Diceros bicornis minor: one gene and its partners. The protein of the gene in region 1 purifies or fractionates together with the protein of each later gene. This does not show direct contact. Links are inferred from orthologs where the notes say so. Each region holds a gene or a part of one and is shown in the gene's direction. Other genes may lie near its edges. The genes, in order: EXOC8, EXOC6B, RALB and EXOC6.

Evidence for each region.
Region 2: the proteins of EXOC8 (region 1) and EXOC6B purify together in Homo sapiens (affinity purification with mass spectrometry; 3 studies listed by BioGRID and IntAct, counting the BioPlex papers as one, with this or other methods). This does not show direct contact. The link is inferred for Diceros bicornis minor from reciprocal best matches to the Homo sapiens genes EXOC8 and EXOC6B.
Region 3: the proteins of EXOC8 (region 1) and RALB purify together in Homo sapiens (affinity purification with western blotting; 6 studies listed by BioGRID and IntAct, counting the BioPlex papers as one, with this or other methods). This does not show direct contact. The link is inferred for Diceros bicornis minor from reciprocal best matches to the Homo sapiens genes EXOC8 and RALB.
Region 4: the proteins of EXOC8 (region 1) and EXOC6 purify together in Homo sapiens (affinity purification with mass spectrometry; 4 studies listed by BioGRID and IntAct, counting the BioPlex papers as one, with this or other methods). This does not show direct contact. The link is inferred for Diceros bicornis minor from reciprocal best matches to the Homo sapiens genes EXOC8 and EXOC6.

What each region holds. Positions count from the first base shown.
Region 1 is NC_080745.1:24,862,557-24,870,119, forward strand, and holds the start of EXOC8 (exocyst complex component 8), read left to right. Parts: upstream 1-4,545; 5' UTR 4,546-4,803; coding exon 4,804-6,981; 3' UTR 6,982-7,563. Other genes in the region: DNA-dependent metalloprotease SPRTN, read right to left, coding at 2,828-2,927, 3,987-4,207. UniProt on the Homo sapiens protein: Component of the exocyst complex involved in the docking of exocytic vesicles with fusion sites on the plasma membrane.
Region 2 is NC_080751.1:16,031,938-16,038,953, forward strand, and holds the start of EXOC6B (exocyst complex component 6B), read left to right. Parts: upstream 1-3,998; 5' UTR 3,999-4,074; coding exon 4,075-4,187; intron 4,188-7,016. UniProt on the Homo sapiens protein: Component of the exocyst complex involved in the docking of exocytic vesicles with fusion sites on the plasma membrane.
Region 3 is NC_080749.1:12,473,134-12,480,904, reverse strand, and holds the start of RALB (ras-related protein Ral-B), read left to right. Parts: upstream 1-4,761; 5' UTR 4,762-4,900; intron 4,901-7,002; exon of another isoform or gene 7,003-7,095; intron 7,096-7,771. UniProt on the Homo sapiens protein: Multifunctional GTPase involved in a variety of cellular processes including gene expression, cell migration, cell proliferation, oncogenic transformation and membrane trafficking.
Region 4 is NC_080745.1:58,529,702-58,537,023, forward strand, and holds the start of EXOC6 (exocyst complex component 6), read left to right. Parts: upstream 1-4,306; 5' UTR 4,307-4,325; coding exon 4,326-4,426; intron 4,427-7,322. UniProt on the Homo sapiens protein: Component of the exocyst complex involved in the docking of exocytic vesicles with fusion sites on the plasma membrane.

The sequences.
Region 1 (7,563 bases):
AAACAAGATTTCTCTGTGTATAGTTTTCTAGTTTTGAGATTTTTAATTATATAAAATTTTAAAACAGACAATAAAACCTACTGCTCATTCCACACCAAGGATGCAGAAGTTTAGGTGCAAAATTAACAAAAGCATTTAAGGCTGCTGTTTCATAATCTGTTCTAAAAAATACGTTTTTTTAAAAAAAGCGAAAATCATAAAGGTCTTCAAAAGCATACCTTTTTAATAATCCTCCAAATTTTTTTAAAAAAGAGTTTCCATCAGAAGAACTAGACCTGGCATTAATGAATTTTAGTCTTATAAAATTATGCTGAACAGAAAAATGGGAGAATCAGACATTTTAACTTGGTCATTATGAAAACATCCCTTTTAAAATTATCAACTCTATCTCTGAAAATGAACTTTATTTTTTCAAGTAAATGCCACTCTACTGAGGCTCAAATTCAAAGGCCATTCTATACTTCAAACACTTCTCAACATTCTAAAATAATTATAAATAACTATTTTTCTAAAAGAGAAACAAATTTAGGTTTCTGATTTTTGGTTCAATTTAAACACATCTTGAAAATGATACATGGCACCATACTGATCATTTCTATTTTTATATACTGTATCTACTATTTTCCACATTTAGGCTAGATTCAAGGCTCTACATAACACAGTCCCAAAACACCTTTATTTCCCACCACTGTTCTGTATCTGGCCAAAAGCAACTACTTCTGATTCTCAATATGCCACAAGTTTAATGGCCTCATTTTTTTTCATAACATTCCCATTCCTTCTGCCAAGAGTAGTCTCCCCTACTATCTCTACTCGTCAGAATCCAATCTGTCCTATAAGGCTCACCTCCATGTTTTAATTAGCAGTGGTGATAGTTACAAGGCAGTAGTGATGAGGCCAAGTGGTACAGGGGACAGGACAAGAGCTTTAGAGCCAGGGAAACTAGAGTCTAAGCCAAGGATCTGTTATTTATTGTGCCTGAGACCTTGCACAAGTTACAACTTGTTCCTCATCCCTAAAATGGGGATATCCTAATCTTGCAGGGTTGTGGTAAAGCATACTCTAGATTAACTATATTAACACTAGTTAATCTAGTCCAAAGTCTGGCACACAACAGGTGCTCAATAGTGAGTGAGTGGTAGGAGTGGTGATAGTAGTAGTAATAAACTCTGCATGTATGAAGCTTTTCTTGACCTCCTCAACCAGATAGAGTTCTTTCCTTCTCTGAACCTATTCATTATAATTTAGGTAGCTACTTTAAATACAGACCAGGGTCCCACTGTTCCTCCTGTGTCCTTCTTACCCGATTTGATACTGTAACTTTCCACCCACAGCAAATGCTCAGCTGATACCATTACCACACATTTCCCATTCTCTTCTCACCCATTATCTTTTAAACAAAATTTGTTCATATGTTTATTTAATCATTTATGCAATAAATATTCATTAAGCCACTATTATTCCAATTAGGGCTCCTTGTCAGGTTGATTTGGTTAATCATGTTGTTCGATTTTTTTTGTTTTACGTCTACTATTTTTTTTCTGCTTATTCATTGAGTTACCAAGAGACTTATAACATCCGCAACTCTGACTGTGGATTATTTCTCTTTTTGCTTCTGCTAATTTATGCTTCGTTTGCTTAAAGCTATGTAATTACTTTTAGGCTTGTTATGTTTTTATTTAATAGAATATTTTATCACTATAAAATATCTCCCCTTTTTTCCAAGTAAAACTTCTTCCTTTAAAATCTTTAGTCTAATACTAATATAGCCACAACAACTTTCTATTTACTTTTTTCCATCCTTTTACACTTAACATATGTGTGTCTATTTTAAGTATGTCTCTTTTAATCTAGTGTGTCATTTCATGTCTTTAACTGGAGTGTTTAGTCCATTTACATTTAATATAATTATTGATATTGTGCTTATGCCTACCTTTCTCTTTATCCAGGCTTTGTTCCTTTATTCCTCTTTCCTTTTTTATTAATCAAGTATTTCTGTTGTACTATTTTACATTTATTAGCTATTTACTTTCTTAAAAATTGTGGTAAAAAACACATTACATAAAATTTACATCTTAACTATTTTTAAGTGTACAGTTCAATAATGTTAAGTACATTCATACTGCTGTGAAACTCATTACCTTTTATTATCCTTAAAAACAGCATCCCTCATATTTCCAAGCATGTTTTAACATATTTCCCATCCAATGTCTACCACCCTATGCTCTTTTGTGCATACAAAGTGATATAACTGGGGCAAGACAAGTCACACTGGGTGCATCCTGGAGAATTTCAGGCATCTGTTAGACTCAACTAACCATAATCTAAGAGTTCCCACTGTTCCATTTTGCTAGCAGGAGTGACCACTAGCTCCAGATAGGAAGTGTGCCCTCACGCTGGTTTGTTCTGCCAGCTGGGCTAGATGTCCTGGGAGGGCAGGACCATGGTGGTTGAATAAAGGAGAGTCAAAATTTGTGTCTTAATAGGAAGATCTGAATCCTAAGTTTTTCTCTGCTTCTAAATATGTAACTTAAACCAGTTACTTAATCTCTCTGAATCTTAATTTCCTTTTATAAAAATGAGGATAACACACAATGAACATAAACAGGGTTGTTGTAAAGATCAATTTAGATAATATACATGAAAGCCTTTAACTTTGAAGCACTATAAAAATAGAAGGTAATCATTATTATCTGCCCCACAAAGTTTGCAATGAGGGAAAACTAGTTTCCTTTTTTGACACGTACAGGTTAATTCACAGGAGTCTAAATCAATAATAAGCATTTCTAAGTTACTGAATTAAGAATCAAGTTTATGCAAAGAATACCTCTACAAGATCCTTCCTCGGTCTCAACTTTAAAAGGGGTTCACTGAGACGGATGGAACACATTCCACCCCTCCCTTCATAGCTGCATATCCCAGCACACCTGGAAAACAACCACCACAAAAGCATGATTTACCAAATACATACAAAAGGGAAATAGAGAGGAAAGAGCAAACCCATATACATTCTTGGGCAGTTCACACTGAGAACTCTACGGCAGATGGCTTTCTTAAAAGTATACCCTCTTCCCTGGGAGATATTTGCATTTCACCCCAGTTATGGACATATGTGAACAGTAGTGGCTTCCCTTACCCTAACCAGGCTGCAACAGCTCAAAGAAGATAATCCTATTCTGCTGCTCCCAGTCTCCTCCCTACAAACTATAATCAGTTTGTGGCAGTAACAGCCAGATCTCCATTAGCACATCTCAAAATTATAATACAAGCCTATGTGAAGAAAACGTGCACTTTAAACACAATTTTATATGATATCTTAATCTGTTTTATTTTAGGTTGTTTTGTATCACTTCAAAAACAAGCACGGTAATATACAACCGCATCTTAAACTTGTTAACTCCGTTCCTGTACAGGACTCGATTATTTCAAATCGAGATTTCTCAAATTTAGCGTGTAGGAAAGGAATCCTTTTAGAGGCATCCCCGAAGACCCCTTAGGTCCAGAAATACGGAAACGTCAAGCCCTTGCCCACTCTAACACACGAGCTCACTACTAAGCGGTGCGATCCTAATGAGCATAGAAGAGGACAACACGCCTCTGGAGGTTTCACTGCGTCCTCAGCATTCCAGACTCTGGTTGCTTCTCCTTCCTGGCTCCTAAAACACTACAGTAAATCAAATCAGAAATGTGTTAATTTATTTTCAAGTGAGGTGAGATTCAAAGAAACATCCTCTTCTCTCATTGTGTCCCCTATAAGTCAAACCGTAGCGAGGTGGGCCACACAGCTTTCTTAAAGTTGTCTGGGTGGGAAAGAGAGATAGGGTAGGAAAGGGAGAAATACACGGAGAGGAGGTGCCTGGTCCAAAACCAGACGCCCTCGTTTAACGGCCCCTGGGCCGTCGAGGCGGAGAAGAAGAGAAGCCCAGGGCCAGGGGCTGAGGAAGGGCAGCCAGCCGCCTCTTTTCCCCAACGGGCTCGGGACTCACAGGGTCATTCGCATGCTCCACTTCACCTCGACGGCCTCCAGTTGGCCCCAGAAGAACCGGTCGTTGAACTGCACAAACAGGGCCTGCAAATCCGGGGTGGGGTCCACCAACTCCCAGGACGCGTCCACCAGTGACAAGGGCTCCTGGGCTTGATCGCACTCCGAGACCTCCAAGTTCCACTCCTCCTGAAGCCGTAGTGCCAAAACCAGGTCCTCATCCATCGCTGCCAGGATCCCAGCGAGGTCCGCCGGCTCAGAAACCCAAGGGCCGGGTGGAGCTCCTGGGAGATACCGGCTCTCGGGTCAGCCCGCCGATGTCGCGAGAACTCAGGAAAACTGGCGCGAGAACGAGAACTCAGCTTGCCCCCAAGGCCGACACCAGGATTCTGGGGCTTAAAAAAAAGAAGTCAGCGTGACACCTCCTAGTGGGCTCGAAACTGGGATTCCCAGGGCTTGGGCGAGAGGAAGGTTTCACTAAGCTGGTTATCGCCTTTACGCTTCGCCGGTAACTTCAAACACCAACGCCACGCTCGGCCCATGCGCACTACCTACGTCTCTTTGCCTTTCCCTCTACTCACTTCCGCAATACTCCCCCGGCGCACGCGCTCTAGGCCAATGGCGTTCCTGCGCAGACGCATTGTCTGCGCCCGGCCCCTCGCGCAGGCGCAGTGTCTAACGCTCAGACTCGAGCGCAGGCGTACTTGTCTGTCTCCCATCTGTTCCTCAGCCCTGGAGCTCGGCGGGGTTTGGGTGGGTCTCGACAGCGGCGGCACCGTCAGCAGCGATAGTGACAGTGACTGCGTGGGGCCCGGACGGAAATGGCGATGGCGATGTCGGACAGTGGGGCGAGCCGCCTGCGGCGACAGCTGGAGTCGGGGGGCTTTGAGGCGCGGCTGTACGTGAAGCAGCTCTCGCAGCAGTCGGACGGGGACCGGGACCTGCAGGAGCACCGGCAGCGCATCCAGGCGCTGGCGGAGGAGACGGCGCAGAACCTGAAGCGCAACGTCTACCAGAACTACCGGCAGTTCATCGAGACGGCCCGCGAGATCTCCTACCTGGAGAGCGAGATGTATCAGCTCAGCCACCTGCTGACGGAGCAGAAGAGCAGCCTGGAGAGCATCCCGCTCACCCTGCTGCCAGCTGCCGCCGCCGCTGGGGCCGCCGCGGCCTCCGGAGGGGAGGAGGCAGGGGGCGGCCCGGCCGGCCGAGACCACTTCCGCGGCCAGGCTAGCTTCTTTCCCACCCCCGGGGGCGCCTCCCGCGACAGCTCCGGGTCGGGCGAGGAAGGAAAGCAGCGCACTCTCACCACTCTGCTGGAGAAGGTGGAAGGCTGCAGGCACCTGCTAGAGACGCCGGGACAGTACCTGGTGTACAACGGGGACTTGGTGGAATACGACGCGGACCACATGGCCCAAGTGCAGCGGGTGCACGGCTTTCTCATGAACGACTGTTTGCTGGTGGCCACCTGGCTGCCACAGCGGCGGGGGATGTATCGCTACGACGCTCTCTATCCTCTAGATGGTTTGGCTGTGGTCAATGTCAAGGACAACCCGCCCATGAAGGACATGTTCAAGCTGCTGATGTTTCCCGAGAGCCGTATTTTTCAGGCAGAAAATGCTAAAATTAAACGGGAGTGGCTGGAAGTGCTGGAGGAAACGAAGAGGGCCCTCGGTGAAAAGAGACGAAGGGAGCAGGAGGAGGCAGCGGCCCCTCGAGGGCCACCCCAAGTGACTTCCAAGGCCAGTAACCCATTTGAGGATGAAGACGACGACGAACCAGCTATTCCTGAGGTAGAGGAAGAGAAGGTGGACCTCTCAATGGAATGGATCCAGGAGTTGCCTGAAGACCTGGATGTTTGTATTGCCCAGAGGGACTTTGAAGGGGCCGTTGACCTGCTGGATAAATTGAACCATTACCTGGAAGATAAGCCCAGTCCACCTCCTGTAAAAGAACTAAGGGCCAAAGTGGATGAGCGTGTCCGACAGCTCACTGAGGTGTTGGTTTTTGAACTCTCCCCAGATCGTTCCCTGAGAGGTGGTCCCAAGGCTACTCGCAGGGCAGTTTCTCAACTAATCCGGCTTGGCCAGTGCACGAAGGCTTGTGAGCTCTTCTTGAGAAACAGGGCAGCAGCTGTGCACACTGCCATCCGTCAGCTTCGCATTGAAGGTGCCACTTTACTGTACATTCATAAGCTATGCCATGTCTTCTTTACCAGCCTTCTTGAGACTGCAAGGGAATTTGAGACAGATTTTTCAGGCACTGACAGCGGCTGCTACTCTGCCTTTGTGGTCTGGGCGAGATCAGCCATGGGCATGTTTGTGGATGCTTTTAGCAAGCAGGTGTTTGACAGTAAGGAGAGCCTCTCTACAGCAGCCGAGTGTGTAAAAGTGGCAAAGGAGCATTGTCAGCAACTGGGTGACATCGGACTAGACCTTACCTTCATCATCCACGCCCTTCTGGTGAAAGACATCCAAGGTGCCTTGCACAGTTACAAAGAGATCATAATTGAAGCCACTAAACATCGCAACTCGGAGGAGATGTGGAGGAGGATGAACTTGATGACTCCAGAGGCCCTGGGTAAACTCAAAGAGGAGATGAAGAGTTGTGGGGTGAGTAACTTCGAGCAGTACACAGGGGATGACTGCTGGGTGAACCTCAGTTACACAGTGGTGGCCTTTACCAAGCAGACCATGGGCTTCTTGGAAGAAGCACTGAAGCTGTATTTCCCAGAGCTGCACATGGTACTTTTGGAGAGCCTGGTGGAAATCATTTTGGTTGCTGTTCAGCATGTGGATTATAGTCTTCGGTGTGAGCAGGATCCAGAGAAGAAGGCCTTTATCAGACAGAATGCATCCTTCCTATATGAAACAGTCCTCCCTGTGGTGGAGAAAAGGTTTGAAGAAGGTGTGGGGAAACCCGCCAAGCAACTCCAGGACCTGAGGAATGCATCTAGACTTATTCGTGTGAATCCTGAAAGTACAACGTCAGTGGTCTGATGCTTGGGTCTGTTTATATGTATACGTATATGTTGCTTATATATTATTTATATTTATATTAAGTTGTATTAGCATATTCTTTATAGTCTCAAACACAGCTTAAAAATAAAAGATGCCCTCTCAGTTAGAAATGCAAAATCAAAAGGAGAAAGAAAAAGATGTTAAATTAACCCTAAATAACAATAACATTGGAATTAGTAAAATATATAATATGCTTTTCTTTTAAATCATGCTCATTCTCTAATGAATATATTATCACATTACAGCATTTCAGCTTATCCTTTGAGTCAAAACACACTTTCTCACAGTATATATTATGCAGCAGAGAAAAATAATATCTATAAATACATAGAGTTTAAGTATGTTGTGAAACGTTTCCTAGTTCACTAAAATGTTAGGTTTCTTAAAGGAGACAATGCCGTATAAAACACCCTGCTTTATATACTTCCTTAAAATGCTTAATATACTTCACCTTAAAATGTGATTGAACAATTTGGGGACAAGGAAGGAGGAGTTGAGAAAATTGGTTTTAGGGTAAATTTCAGTCAACAGAATTGCTTCTTGAGAGTAGCTAGTGTGGAC
Region 2 (7,016 bases), on another chromosome or scaffold:
AATATCTTCTCCGAAAACATTGGTTGCCTTTTCATTTTGTTGATTGTTTCTTTTGCTGCACAGGAAGCTTTTTAGTTTGATGTAGTCCCAGTTATTAGTGTTTGCTTTTGTTGCTTGTGCTTTTGGTGTTATCTCCAGAAAATTGCCAAGACCAATGTCAAAGAGCTTTTTCCTTATGTTTTCTTCTAGGAGTTTCATGGTTTCAGTTCTTATGTTTCAGTCTCTAATCCATTTTGACTTAATTTTTGTGAGTGGTGTAAGATAAGGGTCCAATTTCATTCTTCTGCCTGTGGTTATTCAGTCTGAGGGGAGAGACTTTTAGTTGGAAAGACTCAAGCATGTGTTTACTGATAAAGGTAAAGCAGCGGGGAAGACTGAAGCTGTAAGAGGGAAGAGAGATAATTGCAGGAACTTCTCTAGAGGAGACGTTGACTTGGGAAAGTTATGGCATCCCCAATCCTCTTACACAGGAAAGGAGGAGGAGTTGGAGGAAAAGATTGTGAAGGCGAGGGAAAATGAATGTTTAATAATGGATGAAGTCATCTTCTAAGAGTGAGAAGGATGGGAGCAGAGCTAGGATCTTAGGTAGAGAGGAAAAGATTATAAATGGGTGCTGTGAGGAGGAATAGAAGTCACAGGATGGGGAGCAGCCATGAGGGCCCAAATGATATTGAGCAACAAAAAAGTGCTGTGGTGGAAAAGTTGCCATGGTTACAGTCTCTTATCCCCACTACAATAGAAGGGAGAGAAATTGGCAATGTGGATATGGTTAAAGGAAGCTAAAGAATTAGAGAAGGTTTAGTCAGATTGATGGCTCATAGGAGTATGTGCTGTGGGTAGCTGCTAACATTGATTCTGCCAAGCCCTGCGCTAGACCCCTTACATTAATTATTTCTAATTCTTACAACTACGTAAGGGATATATTATAAACTCCACTTTATATATGAGAAATCTGCAGCTTAAGGAAGCCACGTAACATACCCAGATTCCCTTGCTGATTAGTGGAGAAACCAGGGGTCAAACTCAGATCTCTCTGAATTGAAGTTTGGATAGAAGAAAATCCAGACTAGAAGGGAAAATATGCCAATAGATTACATAGAAATCAGAGATGAAGACTGTAATTAGACTAAAGTGTGGGTTCCCCAGAAATTAGGCAGAGGAAGAGGTGGATGGGAAAGAGGTAGAGAGAGGAATTTCAGTTTGTAGCCTTGGGGGTAGAGCAGTGTTTATGGAATGTTAAGAAGAAGGTGAGGCCATAAAGGTATTGACTAAGTGGCATGAGGAACATCACTGGGATAGTTGGGATCCATGAGGACCGGGTGTGGGTGAGCTATCTGTGTTGATACTGAAGTGCTTCAGGATGATGGCAGAGATTGAGGGGGATAGGAAAACTGTGAGCCAGTGGTAAAATTTCTGATGAATACGGACATTAGCAGATGACCATAACACAATGTGATGCCCTAAACTTCAAAGAGGAGCTGAGGAATCAGGGTGTTGGAACAACAGTCTAGAAGTGGCAGTGGGGAGTAGTGAGAATGTTGACACTGTTAATCTACTGATGCAGGGGAAGAGAAAACCTAGTCATTTAAAGTAAGTAAGTGGAAAGAGGTGGTTCTGTGAAGAGGTCTTCAAGATGATTTGGAAGGGGTCTGAGAAATCATACAATCCATTATACTAATGTGGAAGCAGATGCAAAGAGGCAGAATGATTTGCTTAAGCTCTCATAAAAAACTCGTGGCAATGGAGGGTGTGGGTGGGACAATATGGCTTAATGGTCAGGAAATGGACCTTGGAATCAGATGGATCTGGGTTTGAATACCAGCTTCATCATTTACTAGCTGTGAGGTCTGAGATATTACCTAATCTCTTGGCTTTTTCATCTGTAAAATGGGATACATAATATCTACAGCAAAGGATTGTTGTAAGGATTTAATGATGCATGTGAAGTGCTTACTTTGTGTATTGTGTCTGGCACAGACAGTGCTCAATACACTTTAACTGCTAATGCTGGACCTGAATCAAAGGCCCCTTGACTCTTAGTCTAGTGCTTTTCTGGTCATTCCACACTGACCTGACATTCTCTGTATTTAGAGGGCATTAAAGTTAGGCAGGCCCTCTTCACTGGAGCTTTCCTATATTAGTCACTCCAGACTCACACACACTTATTGATAACATGTGAGATCTTTGGCCTCTGCTGGGGCTCAAAAAAACTGCTGATAGTAGCAAAAGCTAGTTTAACTACTACTATACATATCTGGTCTACATACCAGTCTGTTTCCTGTGATGGACAAAAAACTTTTTGCTGAGTGAGATGCTAAAACGGGTGCCTGAAGGGACGCTCCATCATGTATTTTAAGAGATTTTTAGAAATATGAAAGGCTCCATACTCTCCCTACCCCTCCTACATCTGTCTGGAATTGTTTAAGCCTGAGTAATGAAATAAAATGAGGACAGCCAGAGATTATCTAGAAACAGACAGGTTTAGCAACTTGCTCGGTTCCTGGCAAACCAGGACCTGCAACCCATTCTCCTCACTATTGGTTTGTTTATTTTTAAAATGTATTTTTAGTTAATAACTACTATTTTTTATGGAAAACGTAATACATGTACAAGGGAAAGAATTCCCAAAGTGCACACAATACATAATTAAAATTTACCTTCCTCCTACTCCAGGCCCCTTCCTGCCAAGCTCTCTCCTAACTGCCACTACTGTTAACAGTTTCTTGGGTGTCCTTTGAGAAATATTCTATGGAGTATTTTACGTATATGTAAGAGTATATATGAATATTTATTCTCATATCATACCATAATAATCCATGGTATGGCTGTAGCAGAAATTATTTAGCCTCAACTTCCAGTTTGGTTCTTCTTACATGCCTTTTTTGGTTGATGGCAACACCATTCTCCCAGTCACTCTGCTCTGAACCTCTCCTCCTTCCCCATATCCAGTAAATCCTGCCAATTCTACTTTACAATGTTTTTCCTATGTGTCCATTCTTTTTCATTCTCATTGTCACTTCCTCGATTTAGGCCTTAAAAATCTCTCCTAGCATTTCCCTATCTCCAAATTCTCTCTCTCTGCCCACGTTGCACACTTGCTCTTGATCAAGTTTCCTAATGCCAAGGTTCTGGTTGTGTCACTCTTCTTCCTAAAAACCATCGGTGGATTCCCATTCATTGTGTTATGTGAAAACTCAAGCAGTGATCAATATATGATTTTCTAATTCTAATCTGGGGAGTTTATGAAATGCAGATGCCTGGATCAGAATGTTCAGATGTAGGACGTTTAGTGTATATTTTAAAAAAAGTTTCCAGGCGCTTGGGATGCGGTTGGATGTTGGACCAGTGGAGCCATCAGAACAAAGTACAAATTTCTTAGCCCAGGATTTCTCTCCAAGGTACCTTTCCAGCCCCATATCTTACTACTACTTGTCTACATACCAGTGCAAATGAAGTTCTTGCTGGCTTTCTAGGTGTTCCTCACACCTTCCAGTCACACCTTTTAAACTTCCAGGCCCAGTCTCTCTATGAATCCTTCACAGCCAGAAGTGATTCCTGAACTCGATTCTCTGAACTGGCTTACAGCCACATTCTGCCTTATGTCTTAGTTTTGGGATTCTCCAGCTTTCTCCTCCTCATAGCTTTAAGATCGCTGTCTGCAGAAACCTAATTAGTTCTTCTGTATTATTTACGCCTACAGGGCCTTATGCACTTTGTGGCCAGGGTCTTAAACAAGAATTTGTAGGATTAGTGTCATTGCCTGACTTGATCACCGCTGCATATGCAGTGTCGCTAAATGTTCCTGGTTTATACTGGGGCTGTCAACACGTATTTGCGGATTCAATTAATAAATGAGCAGAGGCCACCCTGTCATTGTCCGGAGAACCACAAATCCCAGCCGGCATTGCGCGGGACGACGGCGGACGCGGTGACGCAAGGGGGCGTGCCGAGCTTGAGGGAGGGGTCGTCCTGCGGGTAGCTGGAGGCTGGGAGGCTCTGGAGCCTGGGGTGAGAGAGGGAGCGAAAGGTGAGCCGAGCTGAAGGAGGGGACGCGCTACCGGGCGCCCCCAGTCTATGGAGCGGGGTAAGATGGCGGAGGCGGAGAGCCTGGAGACAGCGGCGGAGCACGAGCGGATCCTGCGAGAGATCGAGAGCACCGACACGGCCTGCATCGGGCCCACGCTCAGGTACCCCGGGTACCGGGGCCACCGACGGGCAGGCACGGGCGGGCCAGGGGGGCAGGCTCCCTTGGGGCTGTGCGTTGGGCCGGTCGCCCGCAGGCCAGGGCCGGCCCCTCCCTTCGGAGAGACCGACGAGCGACCTCCACCCTGGGCTAGGCGGATCTCTCTCCGCAGCCCCGACGTGGGGTCCCTTCCCGACCGCCGCGCTCACAGCCCAGTTACTCTGGAGGCTTCTCCTGCCTCCCTCGCGGCTGGGGCAGCCTTCGTGCTACCTCCGAGGCTAGCCCCGCGCGGGCAACTAGAGCGCGCCCGACAGATGGTGGCTCTTAGCAGATCTTGCCCCTGAGGACATCACCCTTCTCCCTCGGACTCAAACCCCGTCCTGCCCTAGACATGAGTCCTGCTCTTCAGACAAAACAGAATTTCACCCCACGGTCTGTTGCTCGGAAATTAAGCTCTCGCCACCTTAAAATCACAACCACTTCTCACAAACGAGTTCCTGAAAATCCTAGGCCCTGGAAGGAAGGAAGTTTCTCTCAACCCGCGCCCCTCTCCTGGGAGCGGGTGCTTGCTGAACCGTCAGGAGGACGATCCCTCCCAAAGGTGCAGCCTCTTTGTAGTCTCATCGCTGAGAAAAAGTTATCCCTTCTCCTGTCCCCCAGTTACCATTCTTTTGCCCGCACACCTCCATTTTATTTGAAGATGTCAAAAACTCCCACCTACCTCAACTTATTTAACAAAACTTAGGTACCACTTATTACGTACAGTGCAAGACATTGTATTAAATGATTTACAGATATAACTTATTCAAACTGCAAAACAATCGTGTTAGGTAGGTGCTATCATTACCCTCATTTTACAGATGAGGCATGGAGAGGTTAAGTGACTTGCCCAAGGTCACAGAGGAAATAAAGTGGGGGAGTCGAGGATCCAGGCAGTCTGGATCCAGTCTGCATTTTTAACCCCTGTTGTTCTGTCTCAGTTGGGGATGATCATATACCTGTACTTCCTGTTAATTACTCACCAAGCCCAATTTCGAACTACCTTTCCCTTTCCCCTCAGTTTACTAATGCCCTAGAACTAACTCATCTTCATCCTTCCTGTGCTATCTTCTGATCTCCGTGCAGCCAATAGATAGGTAGTTATCTTACCCTGCTCCTCCCTTCAAAAAAGAGTTATTACTGCTTGTTTTTTCATGGGGAGAGTTGCCTCATGAAAGAATGTTTGAAGGAGGGGCGGGCTGGAGACTTTACTCCTCGTCTTTACCTGTGTAGCTTCCTTCTCCAGGGCACATTGTTAGCACAGTTCTCCCAGTGCCATCTCTGGATATGACTGTCTTTGATAGTTTGCCTTTTGTCTCTTTATGCATTGTGATCGTGACCCTCATGCTCTTCTCTTTTCCTGTTTTCTTGAGCTCTTGAGGGTGAATGATCCTCATTTCGTTATCTTCACTTTTATAAAAACTAAGGGCTACTTACTAGTATTCTAAGTGCGTTATTAATATTTGGTTTTCATAAAACAAAATGTTACTAGAGTTACTGAAGATGCTGTTTCAGTGTTCTACTAAGAAATTTGGCGGCTGAGCTGCAGTTGGCAGTCAAGCAAATCTCCCACTGGAACAATTGGGATTACCAGAGTTTTTAGGAAGGATTCTTGATCAGAACACTATCAATGTTGTCTTGAGTTGGTTGTGGTTTTCAGTTGCTGTCGTTCTTGGTTTATATGATAGATGACTTTAATTTTGTGTTATCAGTTTAGTCTGTTGTGATTTATTATGTTAGCTTCCACTGAATAGTAATGCATATTTGTATCAACTGACTTTTGGCTTGTAATTTTCTAGTATCTTGACTGAAGAATATATGCGTTATGGTTAAAATGTTACCCCTTTTCCCTAAAATTTGCTTCATTGTTATCACTGAGTTCTTTTTCCACTAGAAAGTGGGTTTTTAGGGGGTAGATGGATTAAGGGATCTTTTGCCCTAAGGGGACTGGTAAAAAAAAAAAAAAAAGGTTTGAGAACCGTTGCACTATCCTGCCTGTTTTAGTTATTTTCCTGACTCCCTGTGTATCATTATTAGCGGCTTTTCATTTTTGGCCTCATCCTGTCTTTGGCACATAATCCTAAATCTTACTATCAGACCCAAGTTTCAGTTACTTGAATGTCCTGTATACAAGTAGTACCCTCTGTGTTTGTCTTTAGTCTAGCTCGTCCCTGCCCATTTTCATAGGGGATGACCTCACCTTTTTTCCTTATCCCATTCAGAGGCAGCAGCATGCACAGACTTGATGTTTCAGATCCCATGCCTAACCTTGGATGTAACTCTATCATCATTATCTCTGTTTTTCCATCACAGTCATTAACCAGGTTTGATTAAGGCAGTAGGTTCTCTTTCCTAACTACCCTCAACTGTAAATCTCAAACTCCTCTACCCCTCTTCATAGTCTTTCCTATCTCTTCCATCTTTTGAGGTAACATTTTAAGGCACCAGATTCTTAGCTGTTCCTGAGATAGGTTTTGTAATTGAAGAAGAACTAAAGAGCAGAGAATAACAGTAAATTGATAGCAGATATAAGATTATTATACCCATCCCTAAAATTCCCGCTCTTCGCAAAAATCCATGTAGCCACGTTGCCTAACCACTCTCGGCCAACTATTACTTGTGTATCATTACTTGATTTCTTTCCCTGCTGTGATACCAGATTCTTCTTCCACTCTTATCCCTCTTTGTTTGGAGAGCCAAAGTGGCTTGACTTTTTCATTATATAACTATCCTTATTTAAATCTTGAACAGTACATGCAATGTTAGTTGATTCCCATGTATCATAAGGGAGTGC
Region 3 (7,771 bases), on another chromosome or scaffold:
TTTATCTCATAGTTGAGTGCTTTGCAGCTGTCACCCTGCAGGGGCTTGTATCTGGTTATCTGGAGGTCAGTATCAGGTCTGTGGCGGCTGTTGACTGTGCAAATTTTTGGAAGTACGGAGCACGTGTCTCCACAAAGAGGGAAGGGGAGAACCTGAGCCGGCATGTAGTAGGGACGGGAGATAATGATGAAGACTTATTACTCAATGACAAGACAGACTTGACTTTATTTCTGGGAGATAACTCTTTGTAAGCTATGATGGCAAAAAGATAAGTCCAGCTAATTCAATAACGGAAAATAGACATGAACTATTTTTTTCTAACATGTTTCCCAGGTAGATTAATTCTTTTGGAAGATGAAAGGTTTATCTTCTATGTAATTACTTGGGCCTCTGCCTTTCCAGCAGAGCGATTCCGGGAACATCTGTTTAGTTCCTGCTGGCTGGCTGGGCCTGTAGAGCCCACAAAGAAAGATGGTAATAGGGAAAGAGAAGCTCTCATTAAAACACTTAGCAAAAGTGGTTTTCAAAACCCCCAGTAAGTCTTTTACAGTGGCAATAACTAAATTGAGCACCAAAGTCAAGATTTTGGATACGTTTGGGAGTAAGTAAATACCAGGGGCTTTTCTTGGTAGCTGCCAGCAGAAGGCTGCAAGGAAAAGGCGGCTTGGGGCTACTGCCCAGGCTTTGGAGGAGGGTTCCAGTAATGTATTACCTTACCTGTTGCCTTGGGTGAGAACTCGAGAGTTGGAAACTTTTCCTGAGGAGGGATACATCACTCCATTCTAGTAGTGTGAATTAAAGATCTGTGGTCTCTGCCCCCCATACTTCTCTTGATCTAGGACATTAGATTTTCATCCACTGGATGATACAAATGCCCAGGAAGGAGTGGGTACCCACTGAGCTGTCATCAGTCATTTATTCCTGCGTGTGAATGAGCCTATGAGACCCGTTCCCGAGAATAGAACGAGAGAGCAAGAAGTGGACAGAGAACATTTGGGCCCTGAGGGGTGGAGAAACACAGAATAGAAAGATGACTGAAGAGCTGAAGATGAGCTCCATCTAGTTTTGCTGTTTACAGTAGATTCTTCCCATTTTCTTCAGTGGGCAAGAATGGCTTTTTTTTTTTTTTTTTTCATTTTTCCATCTGTAGATTTGTGGCTCCTTTCTTTTCTAATCACCAAATACCAAATGCCCACAGGGATGTCGGAGCTTGTCAGACTCTTTCTAATAATACCATCTATTTATATAATCCTGCAGCTCAGTGGAGCACGTCTCTGATGCTGACTGATGTTCTAGGAAACTGGTCAGCTGCCTTCTCCACACCCTCCTCCATTCCTGCCTGGATTTTGAGCACCCATATCCCTGGGGTCAAAGCACCTCTAGGGGTCCTGACTTCCAGCCTTGCCTCTGCGTCCTCTGGGATTTGGCAGGAGGACTCCTGGTTTAGTCATCAACTCTCTTGCTCCCCTCCTCCTGCAGTCTCCCCAGATCTCCTGTTACCGAGGGCAGACTACCCTTTCTAGCCTCGGCCCTGTGGACTCCAGTTTGCTTGGACTCCCAGAACAGCCTCCTAATCTCCATTCCCACATCTGCCCCTTGCAGCAGCCAGAGTGGTCTTTTTAAAACCTCAGTCAAAGCATGTCACCCTCCTGGCTCGAACCTCCTCGGTAGCTTCCTGTCACCCTTGGAATAAATTCTAATCTCTTTATCATAACCCATAATCTGGCTTCTACCTCCCTCTCCCCTGTCCTGCGGCCTCACTCTCCCCTGGGCTCACGCACTCATCCAGTCTCCTGTCTGTTCTCAAGTGTACCAAGCTTTTTTCTGCCTTAGGAGTTTGTGCATGCTTGTCCTCTGTCCTCTCCTTCTCTTCACTCCCAATTTTTTCCAAGATTGATTCCTTTTCATCCTTCAGTTCCCAGTTTAAATGTCACCTCCTAAGAGAGACCTTTTTTGACCACTCAGTCTCAAGTAATGACACAATTTGTAATTATTGAGTTGCTTGTTTGTTCCCTGGGTTATTGTCTATTCTCTTGTCAGAGTTGTTCAACACTGTGCCCCCAGCTTGGCACACTTTAGGGCCTTGTAGCAGTCAGAGCAGGCTCAGCTAGGCGGCAGTGATGAACAACTCCCAAATCTTAGTGCCTTCAAACCACAAAGGTTTGTTTCTTAGTCATGCTAAATGTCATCGCAGGTTGGCAGAGGGGCTGTGCTCATTGTAGGGTCTCAGGCTGGTGGAGCAGCCACACTCCCAAACATTCCCAGTGACTGTCCCATAGAGACCAGAGCTCTGGAGGGTCTCGTGTTAGCAAATAAATTCTCCAGCCCCAAAATGATTTATGTGTCACTTCCGCTCACAAGTCACTGGTTAGAGCTAGTCACACAGCCTCACACAATGACAGCAAGCTAGGAAGTTCAATCCTATCCAGTGCCCAGGAGAGAGAAGTGGAAATATCTGCCCAACAGCAGTAAAGACTCACACAATACTCAGTAAATACTTTTGAAAATGGGAGTGTCTAGAATGTTCTTTCCACAGCTACAGTGGGTTAGAGGGACCTTACAGGGTCCTGCTGGGGATCTTGTATTCCTGCTGCTTAGGCCCCTGGCTCTGCCGGGAGTCAGAATTCCCACAGGAGAAGCTCAGCAGATGAGAGTATCCTCTGAGACCTGACATGAGCAATCCCAGTGGCAGTCGTGGCCGGTGGCCTCTCAGTGCTCTTCCCCTGGTGGGACATGTTCCTGGGCTCGTGTCCTCGGTGAGACAGTCCCTCACTGTCTGGCAGGGTCCTTTATTCCACTCTGAATCTACCACACTCAGCTAGGGCCTGGCATGTCCAGGAGCTGAATAGATGATCCTACTGGTGGAGTCCCAGTAGAATCCCTGAGTACAGGGCCTGAGGTTTGGAGTTGAGGGGTGGGAGGCAGAGGATGAGTGTAGCATTTCTCAAAAAGCCCAGTGCATCCTGCATAACATCACATTACTAATACAAAGGAATGGCAGTTACACAGCCCAGGAAAGTGAGAAAACCCCCTGTGCCTGCTGTGGGTCCTGGGGGTGTGGGAACAGGAAAATCCTGGTCTGTCCATGACCCTGATCCTGTTCCCTTAACTACTGATTTCCCTTGGGCAGGCTGCTGCAGCCAGGTCTCCTGTCTAAACTTGCATTTGATAAAACAGCATCACCAGAGCAGGTCCTTTTCACCAGGCTGCACACACCACTGGTTGCTCTATGGTGGTGTCCCACAGTCCCAGATACAACAGGCCTTGAGAGGGAATGCTGACCCTAGGTTGGTTATAACATGCTTAAGTGTACATCTTGGCCTCTGGTGGCAATCACAATTTAAGCTAACGTTTGTTGAGCACTCACCAAGTTCCTAGTACTGTACTGAGAGCTTTATAGGTAATCTCATTTAAATCTTCACACCTATAGTGTGAAGGTACTGCTCCTATTGGGCAGCTGGGGAAACTGAGGCCCACAGAGGCTAAGTAACTTCCTAATTAACTGCTGCTTATATGGCAGAGCCCTCCTTTGAACTTATGCTGATTGCAAACCTGTGCACTTAATTATTACTCCATAGGAAAAAGACATTCTTCTATTTACTAGGATATTCTTCTGGTTACAGTTTTTTGTTAAGCCTATTACTTAAGACTAAAGTAAATCTTCTGTGCTTTTTGATACACTTGGTGGTGGAGGGCCTGGACCTGTTAGTTGATTATACATAGCAATCTAATCAAGGCACAAAGCCTCGCATATAATACACATGTATCCTAATGTTTAATTATCAACAACGAAGGAATTAATTACACGGTGCTGCTACTGTGGATATCAAATTGAACAAGAGAGTTTCCTTCCCTAGAGATTATAGAGGCTGACATTTAAACAATTAATTGCGATACAGTGTTGCGTGTAGGGGTCAACGGGGCCACAAATCCTGCGGAGGCAGAGTGAGGGGTTGGGGGAAGATTCAGCTCTAGGAAGGTGCGGTTAGTTAGGAAAATCAACCCAAGGTTAAGCTCTATTTGGATAGAAAATTACAAGTTCCCGGACTTTGCAGGACAACGACGGGGGCAGGTTGTGGGAGAAAAACCTGTCTGTCGGCCATGAGCTTGTCTACTGCATTTCCTGCCTCAAGGCTACCGCTGGGGTTAGGACTCTGGCCCTTGTATGTGACCTGGGTCAAGTTATTGCTAGGCATTGGTCAAGTAACTGCATTACTGCTAATGGGATGTCATTAGCCAAGCGAGTCGTGGCGGCACGAGGAGCTCCCGCCTCAGGAGCCCCTGGCCGGCGTCCCGACAGCCGCCTGGACCCTTCGACACCCGCGCACTATATCGTAATTTTCCTATGTTTCTCTAGATCAGGTCTGCTCCTCTCTTTTGCTTTCCACTACTTTGGCCTCGCCCTGACCCAAATCCAGGAGGGGAACGCCCTCCGCCCGCCCAAGCCGGGAGTCCCCAGACCCGCTCCAACTCCTTCACTGCAGCAGCGGTCACGTGCAGCCTGTCCGGCCGCGGAAAAGAAGAAGGAAGTGGAGGTGGGTGGGGCAGGCGCGCCGAGCCCGCCCCTCCCGCGTGAGACGGCTTCTCCTTGGCGAAGCCTTCTCCACGGCCTCCCGAGGCTTGGAAGCTCCGCTTCGGATTGGCCAATAGGCTCTCGATGGGCGTGGCCTCCAGGGAGAGGGCGGGAACGGAAGAGAGGGCGCGCTCCCGGGAGGCAGGGTTGCCTAGGCGACGCCGGGGGCGCGCTCGTGGGGTGGGAAGGGAGCCGGGGCTGCTCAATGACAAATCGGCAGGGGACGGCTGGGGTCCGGCCCCGCGAGGAGGAGAAGGAGAGGGCGGGGCGGGTTTAAGAGCCGCGGGCCTGGTGCGGACGGCCAAGGCGACGCGGGACAAGTCCCAGGTGAGCGTGTCCGCGCTCTGGCAGGGCCCCCTCCGGGCGGGGTGGGGCGCGGGCTGGGGAAGTAGGTGCGCCGCCCTGTGCTGTGGCCGGCGGCCGGACACGTCGCGCCCGGAGCCTGGGGGAAGGCGACGCCGGGGCAGTGGCCCCGCTCGGCTCCGGGCGGTCCTCTGGAGAAAGCCTCCAGGCCTCCCAGACTGGCTTGGGGCTGAGGAAGTGGGGGCGGCGCCCCAGCCTCTCCCTTTTTGCCGCTCCTTTCCTTTTCCCACAAATGGCCTCTGCTTCCACTTCCTGCCCTTTTGGGCCTCCAGCCCGAGGATGGTCCACTTCCTTAGTGCCTGAGTTGCGGCTGTGGGCAGGGTCAGGGCCATAAGTGTTGCAAAACTTATTAGTACCTTAAGAACTTGCACTTGGACTGAAGTGGGGCCGTGTTCCAAAAGTTGTTTGGTCTAATTGTTTGTTTTTGTGCTCCCTTGCAACTGAGCGTAAAGTTGTTTTTTTGACTCCCCGGCCCCCCGGTTCCTTACTGATAGGGGCTGGCACCGAAGGTGGCGTCTGATAGAGAGCACCATGGACTTGAACTGTTTGTCTGGACGAGGCTGCAGCACCTCTCTTCTTGCCCTCTTGTAGGTGTACTATAAGGTTATCCGTGGTTGGTTCAGAACTGCTAGTGGCGGACGGAGCTGCGCCCAGGCTGTTTGTTTGAGCAGTGTGCTTTCTGTGCTAATTTTCGGGTGAATACTGGAAACGTTGGAACTTGGATGTTGTTATCAGGTGACTCTTCTGGGGAGAAGTTGTGTCTGGTGGACTGATTGAGGACTGCCAATGGTGGAGACTTGGCTGTTTCTTCATTAGAGTTATCTGTGACTCTATTGCAACCCTCGAAGAACAGTGAACCTTCTGCTTTGTCCTAGTTTCCTAATCTTCCTTCTTTTTGTTAAGTTTTAGGGATGGATAGCGGGCACTGATTATCAGAGGGGCTAGTGTATCTTTTAGATGTGTAAATGACCCATGTTCTAGGCAGAGCAACAAGATTCTTGGATGTCAAAGCTCGAAACAGTTAAAGTCAATGTTCCTTAAACCTGAAGCAATACAATTAGAATATTGAAGTTCTCAGAAAAATGGGGTGGCAGTGAAAGGTAGTGTTGACTATTGGGAAGAGGAGGAGGGCAGACTGTGAAGACCTGGGTTTGATGCTGGTTCTGAAATTATTAGTGGTGTGATCTTGAGCACGGCCTTTCAACTCTCTGTGCGGCAGAGTCCACAGCTGTAAAAAGGTGATAGTGGGTATCCTGCTTGTTAGGATTAAGCGAAATAAGGAATGTATAAGGTGTTCTTTGTGGTGGTGGGGGTGGGATGAAGGTAGGGGTGGGAATAAGGCTGGGGATACACATCCCTCGTGTGTGGTTTTAGTCGTGTCAGCTAGTTTGCTTTCTTCTGACCACATCTGGGTCTTTCCTTCCTTTTCTATTCATGGTATTTCCCATTGGAAACAGTAGATGCTCTTATCTGAGATCTCAGCAAGATTTCCCTGTGCCCGAGGAGTAGAACCTTTCCCAGGATTTTGTGTGGAAAAAAGTAGGGGTATAAGTTACTAGATACCTTTTGGGAATATGGGACCTAGACACATAAAGATAGGAAAACAAGAATTAGAGCCTTAAATGAGATCTAAACGGGTCTTGGTGGAAGAAGTGGAAAGGTTCTCAATTCTTGTGTTAATTCTTCAAGGTTCTTTCCTTGGCTGAAGATGGCTTGAGACTCTGGAAATTTTTAAACCAGAGAGTTGACATCATCCTTTGTGCCACATCACCCACTCCCACAATACCTCTTTGCATTCAGTTACTAAATTCTTATCCACTCATGGAATTGATGTAAGTTAGAAACATCATTGGAGACCTTTTCTTGAAAGCTAAATTTGGAGACAATATAACAAACCAAAACTACAGTGTTGAAAGAGATCTTGGTGAACTCTTCTGAGGTTTCCAGTGTAATTTTTCTCAGGATGATATGCAAGAGTCCCATTTTTCTTTGGCTCCGATGACTTCTAAACAAATAGCCCTTGCTGTTAGATATGCAAGATACTTGGATTTTTTTTTTTTTTTCAGTGAATACATATTGCTGGGGTGTCTGAATCAAAGAGAGTGGAGTACCAGAGAAAATGGAACTCTTCCCTAATCGTGTGGAGGAGAGTGGAGTGGGTAAGGAGGTAGAGAGAAATTGACATTTATTGAGCATCGGCTGTCTGCTTGGCACAGACTCGCTGATCTAACCAATACCAGATAAATATCTGGCCTTGGAGATTTGACCATGAGCTGTTTCCTTTAGCTCTTCTGTTCTTTTGGTACCTAGGAAGACAAATAGGCATGTATATGTGTACATATCCGTAGATGTTCCAAAAAGTAGGCCAGTAGGCAAGAAGCTATATGAATTTTTGGATGAGTGAGAGCAGAAAGAGAGCTGAAGAGAATATGGAAGCTCAGTGTCAAAGAGGAAAGGTATACGTGGTTATTACAGCAACTACAAAATGCCAGCCAGCTCTCAATTTCAAGTTTTTGTTGCTCTGAAAAAAGTAACTGCTTATAATTTTCCTGAGTGTTGTCTCTTATGGTTGTAGACTCTTTTGGGAGTTTTTGCTTTTTTTTTAATTGAAATCTAAATGAAGAAAAAGGTGCTATTGATAATTGCTAACACAATCATGTGTCACTTAATGATGGGGATATGTTCTGAGAAATGCTTCATTAGGTGATTTTGTCGTGCGAACATCATAGAGTGTACTTACGCAAACCTAGATGGTGTAGACTGTACACGCCTAGGCTGTATGGTACTAATCTTGTCGGACCACCATTGTATGTGGTTTGTTGTTGACTGAAGTGT
Region 4 (7,322 bases), about 34 Mb from region 1:
CAAGTTAAATAACTCTCCTGAAGGCCAACATCTAGTAAGAGATGAGTTGGAATTTGAACCCAGACACTTAAGCACCAGACCAGTACAGCTGCATTCTACAGCGTCCTTCTGAGGGAGGGGCTTTCCCAAGATAACTTGTAAACAAGTGACTCAAAGTATAAGTCATTAGTGACTAAGAGTTTATTTACAGGTTAAATCCTTACTTTGCTGGTTAGTTTCATACTGGACACAGAATGCATCTCCTGCCCTGCCAGTCCTCCTTTTCCCTCCTTGGAGTGCTGAAGAGAGATTTTGGGTAGATTTCTGGAAGTCAGTATCCACTGCCTGAAAAGTAACTCAACATTCGAGTGCAATCTGCCTATGTGTGCCCTACTACCCCTCAAGCTCCTCAGACCAGACTGACCACATTATTATCCCTTGGGTAAAACAACATTGGAATACTCTTCTTGGCTGACTTTTTTATTAACGGGAAGGACAGGAACTGGTTAATAACTCCATTTTTCTCCAACTCACTAGCTGCGCCACCTTGGAAAAGTGACTTAATCCTTCCAAGTCTCAGTTTCTTCAAATTAAGTTGGAGATAGTAAAATTACCCCACAGGATTAAATTATATTCTAGTAAAATTAGTACTAATTTAATTACCAGTTAAATTGCTAATTAAATTAGTAAAGATTAAATTAGATAATATAAAGGGCTTAGCAAATAGTGCTCAGTAAATAGCTATTATGGTTCTTATTTTGGCCTATAGCTGAAATTCCTTATTTTAGAGCCTTTTAGAAATGTACCACTTTAGAATAGACCTTTTTTTTTTTTGCATGTTTATGTATTTGTTATGTCCATAATTAAATTTACACAGTTATTTAGGACACTTGGCTTTAAATTCTTAGCAAAAGCCTTCAGGTACTAATGGAACTGTCAGAAGTCACTAGAGGGAACCAGCAAAAGCTGTTTCGGAAGGAGAAGTGGTAATGGACTTCCTTCCATCTTGACTTGAATTGAGGGGAAGATACTGCTGCTTACGTTGAGGTAATCTCTATGGGCAGGTGTTGAAACAGGCCTGGAGTGAGGAGCGCCTGCCTAAGCAGGGCTGGCTTCCCAGAGCTGGGGCATTTGGAGCTGCATTTGGATAGATGGTGTCAGGTTTGGTGAAGAGAAGGGGCAGAGCTCTGGATGGTGAATGCTCAGGAAATGAATGCCCCATCAGGAGACAGTTGCCAAATAAGAAGCTGGCCTGTGCCACACGCCCTGCTCTCCTCACAGGCCCTGCTCTCCTCACTGCACTTAGAACTTTTCAGAACAATGCATTCTGGCCATGCACATCGACTGAGCTAAGATAGTCTGCTATTTCCTGCAGAGAGAACTGGCTTTCTATTCTCTTTGTAGGAAGATATAAAATTTGTCCTAATTTCTTATGTTTGGGTTTCAGATTCAATTTTCAAAAGGTTTATTTTTTCCTCTCAAGAGCTGAATCTGGAATTCAGATGTGCTAACACCAGGGGGTGGTACCTCAGTAATTGGAGAGCCAGTCAGCTAAGAAAAAATTCAGTTTTTTACTACTTAGTGAAAATCAACTGCATGTAGGGCCAAAACACTGGGGTCTAGGTACAGGGATTTGGCTTGATCCAAGGATAAAATTTTAAGTAACCAGAGGAATGGATATAACCTTCGTTATATCCTCTGACCAAAGTCCATAAATATTGTTTCAACTGAATACACCCACATTATAGGATATTATATTTAATGTCAATATATAAAGAGCTTGAAGAAGTTTGTTTGTTTGAAGAAACTAACTTTTTACAATTTGATATTGTTCTAATTCCTAAGTGTTACCAATGACAGATTAACCAAACTCCTACTTTATGCTTAGACCTGTTCGGAATGCTCCTTTCTAATTCATCCTGAACTCTTTCCAATGGCTCAGAGCTTCAGCATTGTCTGGTTTCAAAACCCCTCCAGCTTTCTCTCAACTACATGCAGAACTCTATGAGGAACCATAGGAAATTGCAAAATTAAAAAAAACTCATCTCCGAACTCAAGGACCTTAAGATGATGTGACAGACCTGGTGGACTTGGGAAGATTTTTTTGTTTCTGTATATTCTTGAAACATGAGGAAGTGGGATTTCTTACAAGAGATCTGGATTCTCCTGTACCATCAAGGCTGTGGAAACAGGCTGGGGGGGTTTCTTGGTAGAATGAGCAGTTGGATCTATAATTCCTTGGTCTTCCAAGCCAGCATGCACTGAGGTCAGCAACATTTCGGTTCCCTTGGGGCTCAGTGTACAAAAACAAAGAAAACTCACAAAGGTATGAAAAGGAACCAATCAAAACAAGTGCAAACTATTAAAACAGTTGTTGGTGGAGTGGATAAATATGCTAAATTGAATCTAGAGTTAGCAGAGAAGGTTGTGATTAGTTAGGGTAATCTTTATGGAGACAAATCTGAGTTGAATTTTCCAAGGAGGACAGAAATGTCATAGTAATAGGAAGGAGAACATTTATATATGTTAGTAATATTTGTTGGGCCCTTACTAAGTGTGGCAGGCAGAATAATGGCTCCCCAAAGATGTCCATGTCATAATCCCCGGAACCTGTAAATATGTTACCTTACATGTCAAAAGGGATGTTGCAGATGTGATTAAGGTTAAGACCTTGAGGTGGAAGATTATCCAGAATTATATGGTTGGGTCCAACCTAATCACATGGGTCCTTAAAAGCAGAGAATCTTTCCTGGCCTACGGCAGAGTCAGAGAGAAATGTGACTACAGAAGAATGGTCAGAGAGATGCAATGTTGCTGCCTTTAAAGCTGGAGAAAGGGGGCCATAAGCCAAGGAATGTGGGTGGCCTCTTGAAGCCGAGAAAGGTAAGCAAATGAATTCTCCCCTAGAGTCTCTGGAAAGGAACACAGTCGTGCAGACACTTTGATTTTAGCCCAGTGAGACTCATGTCGAACTTCTAATCTACAGAACTGTAAGATGATAAATTTGAGTTGTTTTAAGCTACTAAGTTTGTAGTAATTTGTTACAGCAGCAATAGAAAACTAATACACGATGGGACAGCAATATGATGTAGACACTACTATTATGGTCATTTACAGATGGGGCAACTGAAATCCAAAGGGATTAGGTTCTTGCCCAATGTCACTCAGCAGTGAAGTGAAGGAGATGGGAATTAAATTGAGGACACCTGTCGTCAACAATCATGCTCTTAACTATCATGCAATATCACCTCCCAGGATTTTTGTGGGGAGCAGAATGGAGGGAGGCTTCTAGTAAAGGGGATGAGTTACACAGCTGGATAGTAAAGAGCTTGGTTGACTCAAAGGGAAGTTTAGCCCTGGATTAATGGAGACCAGAAAATAGTTGTCCCTCAGGGCTAGGTTTGCACTCTCTTCCGGATTAATATTCCTCAGTCACTGCTTTGATCATGACAAACTGGTTTATTCAGTGTCCCACAAACATGGCATTAAATAGGACTCTTCTACACTAGCACCTTTGCCCAAGCCACCCCACCTCTCTTTCCCATTTCTCTGATGCCTACTCCTCTCAAGAGCTTCCATCCCTCCTCATCTCAGCTACAGCAACTTGGGGGCACTAGGGCTCAAGGACTTTGGCATGAAATCACACATTGCCCTGTTGTCTCTTGTGCCTTTGCCATAGAGTGTCATAGTTTTTTGTCATTTAATTTTTCTGGCTAATTTATTTCCAAGTTGATCAGCCTCTGAACTCTGTGGGCAGGGACATGAATCCACCCAGAGCGGTCGTCATGGTGGTCAGCTGGGATCTTCTTGGTTCATGCCTAAAATAAATCTTACTCCCACACACAATTTTGCGTTTCCTGAGAGTGCGTTTTCCTTTTTTTGACTCTCCACCACCCACGGTACATCAGGCCTCCTTGTTAAACGTTCCCGTCGCTTTTGTTACAGATTGAGGGTTATTTGATTGTCGACCTCTCTCATTACTAAGCTATCCCCAGAGCACAGCAGAGGTTCTGCCACACAGAATACAAGAAAATGTGAAAGCCAGGCTAGTCACTAGTCAGCAACGAGGAGCAAGTGGCGGGGGAGAGCGCGAGGCGACGCCTCTCCACTCCTCGCCGCCGCGGACAACACCATGGCCTCCGGCAGGCGCAAAGATCACAACCTGAGGCTAGATCGCGCGCCCCTGTGCTGCCTCTCCCGCGGTCCACGCGCCCCCGCCCCGCCCCGCCCCTTCTCCCGCCCCGCCCCTTCTCCCGCCCCCTCGCGCTCGCGCTCGCGCCGCATGCCGCTCGCCCCCGCCGTCCGCGCGGCGCCGCGCTTCGCTGGCTCCTCAGCGTCCAGCCAAGATGGCGGAGAGCGGTGAGGCTCTGGGCACCGTCCCGGAGCACGAGCGGATCTTGCAGGAGATCGAGAGCACCGACACCGCCTGCGTGGGGCCTACCCTCCGGTAAAGATCTCATCCCCCCCAGGACCTCGGGCTGTCCCCGCCGGCCGCTCGTCAGGAGCCAGGCGTGGCGTCTGCCGCCGGCCGCGCGCGAAGCCGCTCGACAGGTGGTGCGCGCGGAGGCGGGCGGGGGCGCTCCAGGGCGGCGGGCCGGTACCAGGGGCGGGGCGGAACCGACCACTGCACCTGTCGGCGCGGCCCGCCTCAGCCGCGGGGGCTGTCACTGCGCAGCCGGTGGGTGTGGCTGCCGCGGCGCCTCTGACCCCCGGAGCTGCGGCGCCGCCGGTCCCTGGCCTGGGGACGGTCCTCGGGCCTGCCGGGCGCCCGGATCGCGGCTGGGCTGAGGGGGTCTTGGCCGCGGGCGTGGTGGGAGCCAAGGTTAACTGCTGGTAGCCGGCGCGACGGAGGTGCCGAGGCGCGCGCAGGTGGAACGCCTGACGCGCTGGGTTGCGGCGGGCGTGGGAGAATGAAATGGAGTGGGAGACGCGGGCACCATTACACCCCGCCCCGCGGCCAGAGGGGGCGAGAAGGGAGGGTGGTTGGCGGGGAGGAGCTGATGCTCAGGAACGCCCTGCTGAGACCGTGTGCTCACCGGGCAAGCCTCTCTGGAGTCAGGGAAGCTTTTACTTATTTACGAACGTTTCATTAATTTTGCATTAGTTTTCCCGTTTATTTTAAAAAGGATCTCTGCCCTTGAAAAATAGTACCAGGTAATGAATATTCCAGACTGAGTATCTGCTGCCCTAATAGAATATTAGCCGGGCGCTGTACTGATCTATTAGATTAGGTTAGGGACTCTCTTGAAGAATAAGTGCCTTTTAAATATAAGGCTTCATTTTTCGTAGTGAGGATAATGAAATTATGATTCACTTAGGGAAGTTAGGACTGATTGTACTTGATCATTATTATTTTCTTCAGGATACACTTCCTAGAAATGGAGTGCTGTGTGTTTTGTGGACCTGGGGATGTAGCTTAAAGTGAAGCCAGTTCAAGTTATAATGTAAATCCATCTTGCCCTGAGAGTCTGGAGACCTGGGTTCTTGTTTTGCCGTAGTCCTACCACTGATGAAGTGTGCAGTCATGAGCAAAAATCATTTATCCTCTCTGGACTTCGATTTCCTTATTCGTAGACTGGGGAGGGTGAGGATTAGATGCCCAGAACGCCCAGGACATTTGAGACCTTGCCTGTTTGTTCACTGATGTATCCCAAACACCAAGCATGTACTAGGCACCTGATAAATTTTTGTCACATAAAGTTCCTGCTATGACATGATAAGCATAGTTAATGCATTTCCTTAATTTTTCAACATAATTATTTCTTTATATGAAACACTGTACATTTGGTAATGCAAGTAGAAATCATAGATTGAAAGGAGGCTTTGTTTTCCTTGTTGCCTGGTGAAACTGAAACAGTACAGTATGTGGTATAGTTATCAGAACAGTCTATTTTTGAAACAGTATTGGTTATGACGGAGATGTTTCCAAGATGTTTCTTGGAAAAATGTGCTAGGAAATATCCTTGAAGAAAAGATGAAATTAATTTAGAAGAAAAATTTGAAATATGTTGAGAGATTTTTGTGACACAAATAGAATATATGTATGCACGGTGTTGTTATAATTCTGTTCTCTTTTGCGGGCAATTGTGTCACATACTGGTTTTGTTGAAACCCACGCTCTTTTCTTTAGCAAACTCCAGTGACTCATACTTATGCTATATATACACTTGTCACCTCTCATTTACAAGCAGACTTTTCCACACGCACATAGAAGGCACTGCTAGCAGTCCTTTCTCTTGAACGGTGTTTAAGCTACTATTTTTTTCCCTAGGTTTCACTGAGTGAAGTGCTAATATTAAAATTTTAAAAACTTTTTATTATGGGAAAATTTAAATGTTTTAAAAAGTAAAATAGTGTAATGAACCACCAGCAACCTGTCATCCAGCTTCAATTCAACCCCTGGCCAATCTCATTTGATCTTTTTCCCCATCAACTCTTCATCACCCTGGGTTATTTTGAAGCAAATCCCTGACATCAATTCATCCATAAATATTTCAGTGTTGAGATTAATTGTTCTTGTTATGTCTCAGTTATCTTTTAGCTGGCTTGTAGGCTTGTGTTGTTGTTGTTATTATTTTTCTTTTTCAGCCTGACTATTTCCTGATTCACTTTTATCAGATCTGGCTTCCTGGAAGAAGCCAGATGATTAAATGACAAGCATGTTATACACTTCTTACAGGGCCTGACATGTAATATGGTTCTTTGACCACAATGGGATTAAATTAGAAATCAATAATAGAAAACTATCTGGAAAATTCCCAAATATTTGGACACTGAATAATACACATCTAAATAACACATGGGTGAAAGAAGAAATCAAAAGAGAAGTTAGAAAGTGTTTTGAAATGAATAAAATGAAAACATAATATATCAGAATTTGTGGGATACAGCTAAAGCAATACTTAGAAATTTATAGCACTAAACACATCTACTGTAAAACGACAATTTCAAATAATGGCCTCAGCTTCTAACTTAAGAAACTAGAAAAAGAAGAGCAAATGAAATCAAAAAGAGCTAAAAAAAGGAGATGATAAAGATCAGAGTGGAAATCAGTGAAACAGCAAATAGAAAAACAACTGAGAAAACCAATAAAACCAAGCCTGGTTCTTTGAGATCAATAAAATTGATAAACCTCTAGGGGAAGAAAGAGAGCTGATACCAATTATCAGGAATTTCCATTTCCTGATACCAGTGTCAGGAATGAGAGAGGTAACATCACTACAGATTCTACAGATATTAAAAAAGATAATAAAGGAATATTATGAACAACTTCATGCCAGTACATTTGACAACTTAGAAGAAATGGACAGATTTCTTGAAAGAGACAGACTATCAAATCTCAC